Linked DNA regions of Arabidopsis thaliana. The protein of the gene in region 1 purifies or fractionates together with the protein of each later gene. This does not show direct contact. Each region holds a gene or a part of one and is shown on either strand. Other genes may lie near its edges.

Region 1 (4,143 bases):
ATTGTCTCTCACAATGATCTCTCGTTTAACACTCCCAGAGACAAACTTGAAGAAGCTGTGGCAATCTCCGCAGATTCTAAGGTTCTTGGTGATTCTGATTGGGACACTGAGTGGTAAAGATAACAATCCAAATGCTAGAGCCAGTTTCTCACTGTGGTGCGAGACTTCTGCTGCTTTTTCTTCTTCCTCCAGATCGTAAAGCGAGAGTTTCAGGTCGGGTTTGTACCCTGCAGCTTCCATTTCGTTCCTTAGCTTGGCCAGCGTTGTTTGAATTTCTTTGTTCAGTATGTGGGATCTGTCCTTGGCTTGAAAGGCATGGACTTGGTTCTTCACTGTGATCCAACTGTATCCGGCTCCTTTCTTGATCCCTACGCCTTTCAGCTCCTCTCTTACGGTGTTGGCTTCCGCCCACCTATCATTGATTAGTTATAATATAGTTAGATCATAAGTAACTGAAGACAAAATAAATGGTTGGTCTCCCCTGCTTCATGTTTAACACAAGTTTCATCTATTTAAAACTCGATTCAGATAATGCTCAGATACTCCTAGTTTTGTAGTCTTTCTTCTAAACATTTGGGTGGCTCTTGTTTACAAAGCATCGTGTGGCTTCTTTTGAATTGATTAGAATATGATTTCAACCTAACAAGATGAATAAAAATTGAATAGAATCAATGCGGTTCATTTACCTCCCAGCCGCTGCAAACGTATTGGAAAGCAGAACGTGGTTGCCTGAATCCTTAGGGTCGAGTTTGAAAAGGTTCTCAGCTGCTAGTAATCCCAGCTGTGGCTTACCATGCATCCTACAAGCATTCTGAAGAGCACCCCAAACCGAAATTGTCGGTTGAATTGGCATTTTCTTTATGAATTCATAAGCCCGTTCTACCATTCCCGCTCGCCCTAGCATGTCCACGATGCATGAATAATGCTCAGCCCCTGGCTCAATGCCATAAGTACTCCTCATCGAATCAAATATCTTCATACCATTTTCCACAGCCCCTGCTCTACTACAAGCGGAAAGCAAGGACACAAAAGTCATATAATTTGGAGTTGGACCACATCCACGTGGTGCCATTTCTTCAAATAAAGCCAATGCCATATCAACCTGACCCTGATGAGCATATCCTCCGATCAATGAATTCCGAGTCACTAAGTTCTTCTCAGGCATCTCATCAAACGCTTGTTCTGAATCTTCTATACATCCACATTTTCCATACATGTCAACGAGGGCACTTCCAACAAATATAGTCCTTTCAACACACGCCTTCACAGCGTGAGCATGTATCGATCTTCCCAACTCAAGACCAGCCATACCAGCACACGCACTCAGAACACTTGATATCATAAAATCAGAGGTCTCAACAATATCCTTCCTTGAGCGTAAATATAATACAGACGCCTTCTCATCCTCATGATTCTGCACATATGCAGCAACCAATGAACACCAAGAAACAGCATTTTTAGTTCCCATTTCAGTAAAGATAATCTCACTGCTACGTATCTGCTTACACTTTCCATAGAAATCAATCAACCCATTGCAAACAGAGACGTCTGTATCAAACCCACTTCGTAACACAAGCCCGTGTAACTGCATTCCTAGATTCAAGTGTAACCAATCCGAACAAGCATTAAGGAAAGCACAAAAAGTTATCGAATTCGGGTGCCCATCAATCCTTCTAAACTCAATAAACGCTTCAATAGCTTCCCTAGGCCTTCCATCAGTCACAGAGTTAGATATAAAAGCATTCCAAGTTTCAAGGTTCCTCTCAGGAATTTCATCGAACAACTTCCGTGCATCATCTCTAAGCCTAGTTTTGCAATACATATCAAAAGCACTACACCCAACAAACACATCAAGTATCCTACCACACTTCACAGCAAGCGCATGAATCTGCTTCCCAGTAACGGGTAAACGCAGAGAAGCCACAGCTTTAAAAGCACAAGGGAAAGTGAAGTCATTTGGAACAACACCTTCTCGTCGCATCTCGAAGAATTCAACCAAAGCGGTGGAGAAATGACCGTTCTGAGCAAGTCCGGAGATAAGTGAAGTCCAAGAGACGACGTTTCGTGCAGGAGTGAGTCGGAGAACGAGTCGGGCTGATTCCGGATGGTCGAGTTTTGAGTACATGTTGATGAGATAGTTCGCGAGAAACGGAGGTGGTGGTGAATCGAGGGTTTTGACGATTCTTGCGTGAACGACGCGACCCAAACGCATGGAACTCGCGGAGATTGCATTCTTGAGAAGTAACCCAAGTGCGTCCGCGGAGAGGAGGCTCATAACTAACGCCGGTGATCGGAAAGGTCATAGCTTTCAAGTCGGTGAAGAAGAAACATTGAACGGTATAATCGTAATTTCAATCTTCATCTGTGTAAACAAAAACAAACTAAAAGGGTATAACTGTTATTCCACCTCTGTTTGTAGGACTAATCTGATCGAAAAGAGGATATATAAGAAACGAATGAGTTTGATAAATTTGTAATCTGTTGTAGTTGAAGCATAAGATCGGCTACTCTGTTCTTGACTCTCCAAAGTTCGTATCTTTATCTGCATTCTGGAGAAATTTCTAATCAACTTAACTTTTAATTTGTGTGGGTTTGTTCCCTTAACATTGTTATAGATTAGAATTCATCCTTTGCTTTGTTTATTTGGGTGTTTATCTATCGCAGGAATTAGGGTTTTTGGTCTGCTTCGATGGATATGGATCAAGAGATAGGTCAAAATTCTCCTGGGTAAATTCAATTCATTAAGAACTATCAATATGTTTACACTTCTGTATAGGTTTCTCTGCATTGATTCTAGGAAACTTTGAGTCATGATCGATTTTGTTTTGTTATTGGGAATAGAGTAATGAATATATGTGATTATAACTGCAAAGCAATTAGTTAAGTTATGTTATTTGATTCAATCACATTTATGAATCTGCACAGATTTGATGGTGAATCAGTAGTGTCAATGAGTAATAGAAGCAAGGAGACTGAACCAGTCCCGGTTGAGAATGACTATTATCGGGAAAACGGATTCAACAGTGATGGTGATGGTGATGATGTGAAGGTTAATGGTGACAGAAGCTCCTTCACTGATTTGAATCAACTCCCGGCGATTCCGCCAGCTTCTAGTGGTCAAGGTTTGCCGTTTGCACCTGTCGATTTCCCGAGCCCCGGCGATGTTTGGACTTGGAGAGTTGGGAGGAGAGTGAATAATGCCGGGTTCCATAAGGATCGCTTACTCATTCTCCCGGAGAGGCTTAAGGGCAAGAATGTACCCAAATCTTTTGCAAGCAAAAACACTCTTTCGCGTTATCTCGAAACTAGTTTCCCTGATATGGATGCTAATGCATTCTTTGCATCTTTTACCTGGAACATTCCGGCTTTGTTTCAGCCTGCAGAAAGAGGTAGCAACTAACACTCTTCTGTTGCGTCAGCCATAAAACTCTATCTGCAACACATGAATGATGTTTCTTTTTTTCTGTAGTTGATGCTGCGTCTCTGTTTGAAGAGACATCCAAAGAAGGACAGAATCAAGATGAGGATGCTGAGGATGTAAAAAAAGAAGGATCAACTTCGCGTTACAGCCAGAGGAAGAGAAAACAGGTGCAGATACAGACTAATGAACCTAAAGCAACTCCGCGAGCTAGCAACAGGAAAAAGACAGCCACAACAACACCAGCTGCTGAACATAAGTCAGCTCGGGAATCTTCCTCGAAACGTTACACAAGACAGCAACAAGGTGATGTGTTTGACTTGACTGAAGAAAACAAGGAATCAGATGCAAAGAAAGGCAGCAAGAGGATGAAGAAACGCAGAGGTAACTATGCAGACGAAGAAGAAGAAGAAGAGGCTTTTGTTCCGCATATCTATGTTTCTTCTATGAACGGTGTCATTGCAGTCTCTCACCCTCCTGTGGATATAAACCCAGAAGAGTTTGACAGTTATCTGAACTCTCTAGAGAATCTTCTTCAGCAACAGCCTTCAGAAGCAGGACAGGAGTCTTCATCATCACTTCCCGTTAGTGCAAGCTCTCCAGTGAGAGATTACGAATGGACAGAAGCTCGAATGAAGCTTTCATCGCTTCTGGAGAAAGATTTCTCTTCCTTGTTCATGTCTAATGAAGCTACGGAGATGGCAAGCTTGGCAGCTAAACTCAAG
Region 2 (3,678 bases), on another chromosome or scaffold:
CGAGAAACCAAAATCGCGATCGGAGAAATCGATGAGAAGAAGGAGCGGAGGATTATTTCAACGGCAAAGACGAAAACAATCAGATCTGGTCAAAAACGATGAACTCATCTGTGGCTACCATAGTTACTCGGTTTCTCCAATTCGATTTCTGCACAAACTAATTTCTGATCTTTTTTTTTTATTAATTTGTTTTTCTTTCTTAGTGGATTTGTTTTTTGGTCACAAGTGATGTCTTTAAAAAACAAGGAAAAAAAACTAATAAAGAAGACAAGTGAAAAGTGCGTGATCACTGTATCAAATGACAACTTCACCCTTAATGTTAGTAGCAGCTAACCGGGGTAATATTGGTATTTACTAGAGTGGTATTTTTTACAATTTTAGGTTACAGTATTTGGTTATATTAATTTTTCTATTTTGAAACATTAGCTAAAACATGATTATTCTTTATTTATTCACATCACATTGAAAAGTAAATAAATTGTAGTTGGAAATAATATCATTTCTTCATATCAATATGAATATTATTATCAATATTGATAATTATATTTTTATTTTTAACATTTTTATAACATCTTCAAACACATACATTATTTCAAATACCATTAGATATTATATTATTATTTTAAACATTTATTATTATTTCATATCATGCTTTTTTATAGGTGACTTAAATATGGACTTTGTTTCCAATAATATAGTTATATCAAATTTTATTTTTTAAACATTTAATATCATTTCTTATCATGCTTTCATTGCTTTTGTTTATAGTTTGAATGAACGAAAAGAAAAAACGATAATCATGTTTTATTTGTAAAGTTTGTTGTGAGTAGTATTGCAAATAAATTTAATATTTTATTCGGCCGGCAAACGTTACAAATAAAAAATAATTATTATTTCCATTTTATTTGTACTATGTACAACAAATAAATAAATTATGGTAAGAGATAATATTAAATGTTTTTATAATTTTCATGTTTTATTTGTATTATTTTGTGAGTGAATCAAAGATGAACTTTTGTTTTGGTAGGTAGTCATAGATGAACTTTATTTCTGATTTTTTTTTTTTTTTTGTCAACAGATTTTATTTAGAGCTCAAAAGAGCCAATTGTGAGGAAAATTATTTATAAAAGTGACATGAAGCGGTTCAATATGAATTTTTCGTGCCAATTTGTCCGCCTTTACATTTGCAGTTCGAGAAATTAAAGATAAAGAAAACTTTGTGAATTCCTCCTTATATCGGTCTTTAGTTCCTCCAAATAAGTTGAAAACGCTGGTCATTCGGTTGGAGAAGACACCATCTTCACCAAGTCTGAATAGTCTGTAAAAAATGCTACTTCTTGGTTGTCGGCACCAATCATACACTTCATCGACCAAAGTAGTGCTTCGACTTCTGTATGGAGTGGATAAAGACTTCTACGAAGATTAGCAGCTCCCATGGTTGGCGAGTCTCCATTTGATGATCTGCAAAACCACCCTAATCCAGAAAACTTATCGCTTCCTTTCCAAGATCCGTCCACAAAACAACGCAAACCAGAATAAATATTATCGTGTGATATATTCTGAACCCGAATTTGTTTTTTCGATCCCATGGAACCGTTATTTTTGGTATTGAGCTCAAATTGAGCTAACTGCCATAATTCTGCCTCTTTTTCTGTTAAACATAATACGTCTAACTTTATTTCCGATATTCTTAGCTCTAGAAAATTTTCATTCTTAAAACATTTAATATTATCTTGACCATATATTTTTTAGTTATGTTGTCTGAATAAGATGAATAAACAATAATTATGTCTCATTTATAAATTATAACTCTCTAGTGAGTCAAATACCGACTTTATTTCCAATATACTATAGTAATTTTTCCTTTTATTTACCTTTTTAATGTAGTGTTAATAAAACCAATAAAGTATATAATCATATTATTTTTGTAACTGGTGACACAAAGCTGGATTTTATTTGCAATATTATAAATATGGCGAAATAGGAAACGAATTGTAAGTAGGTAACATTATAAAAGGGTGAAAAATAATAACATAAAATAAAATTGTGAAAAATAATAACATAAAAATGAAGAAATGATTTTATTACTAAATAAATTTGGTAACAAATAAAGTTTTAGTTTCCGTTTACTCCAATGTTACTATTTTTTTTCCCCCGACCATTTTTACACACAGCCAATCAGAGCCTTGTTTCATCGTCTCTTGTCGAGGCGATAATATTTAGATCTGCTCACCATTTCTCCGCCATCGCCGACGGAAGAAGAAAGATGGGAGACAACAACCCTAACCGATCAGAAGCAGAACGTCTTCTCGGAATCGCGGAGAAGCTTCTCGAGTCACGAGATCTAAACGGTTCAAAAGAGTTTGCAATCTTAGCTCAAGAGACAGAGCCACTCCTCGAAGGCACCGATCAAATCCTCGCCGTCGTCGATGTCTTACTCTCATCAGCACCAGAGAATCGTATCAAAAACCAACCAAACTGGTACAAAATCCTTCAGATCGAAGATCTAACTGAATCATCAACAGACAACGATCTAATCAAGAAACAATACCGTCGTCTTGCTCTTCTTCTCCACCCTGACAAAAACCGTTTCCCTTTCGCCGATCAAGCTTTCAGATTCGTGCTTGATGCATGGGAAGTTCTATCAACACCTACGAAGAAATCTCAATTCGATGGAGATTTGAATCTCATCTTCACTAAAGTAAATCTCAACACTCAGAAATCGAAGAAGAAAACAACAACGAATGAGAAGATGTCTACGTTTTGGACGGCGTGTCCGTACTGTTACAGTCTTCATGAGTATCCTAGGGTTTATCAAGAGTATTGTATTAGATGTCAAAACTGTCAAAGAGCGTTTCACGCTGCGAGTATTCCTCAGTTGCCTCCGTTGATACCTGGTAAAGATGAGTATTATTGTTGTTGGGGTTTTTTTCCGATGGGGTTTGTTGGTGGTAAAGGAGGAGAAGCTGCCATTGCTAATGGAGTAGATGCAGCTAAGTTCCCTAATTGGATGCCTCCGGTTTTCTCATCCGGCGGCGTTGCAGCTCCTCCAAGTGGTAATGGTGTTAGTTTTGATGGATGGTCAGGTGGTGCGGCGAAGAGAGATAATGAGGCTGTGAGGAGTAATAATGGTGTTGGAGTTAATTCAGATGGAACACCGAAGAAGAGAGGAAGAGGAAGGCCGAAGAAGAATCCGGTTTAGTGATCTCTTTTCAAACTCCGGTCATGATTGTTAAAATTATGGAGACAAAATTTTAAAGGCAAGTTTTTTTTAAGGCAAGGAAGTTTAGGATCAGCGTTTGTTGTCTTAGTGTAAACTTTATTATGCATTTGTTGTTATTACCGTTGTGTAATTGTGTTATCTTGATTTACTTTGAAACATTTTCCTCATTACATAATTTGGCAATTCGCTCTTTTCCACTTCACTTGTTGGATGGATTAAACACTTTAGATTCTCTGTAAATAAAATTGAGGAAAAATCAAGATTGGAGAGCAAAGTAGTGTCAAAGATATAACTCTACTAAAAGCAGCAACACCTACAAAGTTTAGTTCTTCAAGTGATGATCAAAAGTATTTTCTTTTACGAGTCTATAAGTGAAAGCGAAGGACTGTTGATAAGACTTCTACTTCCTGACGATATTGAGATCGATGTGTACATACGCAAGCGAAGCCACAAAT

The links.
Region 2: the proteins of AT4G14840 (region 1) and AT2G01710 fractionate together in Arabidopsis thaliana (co-fractionation; one large-scale study listed by BioGRID). This does not show direct contact.

What each region holds. Positions count from the first base shown.
Region 1 is NC_003075.7:8,512,079-8,516,221, reverse strand, and holds the start of AT4G14840 (spindle assembly abnormal protein), read left to right. Parts: upstream 1-2,275; 5' UTR 2,276-2,337; exon of another isoform or gene 2,338-2,415; intron 2,416-2,494; exon of another isoform or gene 2,495-2,528; intron 2,529-2,639; exon of another isoform or gene 2,640-2,664; 5' UTR 2,665-2,689; coding exon 2,690-2,727; intron 2,728-2,925; coding exon 2,926-3,389; intron 3,390-3,469; coding exon 3,470-4,143. Other genes in the region: LOI1 (Pentatricopeptide repeat (PPR) superfamily protein), read right to left, coding at 1-412, 687-2,275.
Region 2 is NC_003071.7:313,570-317,247, forward strand, and holds AT2G01710 (Chaperone DnaJ-domain superfamily protein), read left to right. Parts: upstream 1-2,078; 5' UTR 2,079-2,134; coding exon 2,135-3,202; 3' UTR 3,203-3,424; downstream 3,425-3,678. Other genes in the region: AT2G01720 (Ribophorin I), read right to left, coding at 3,624-3,678.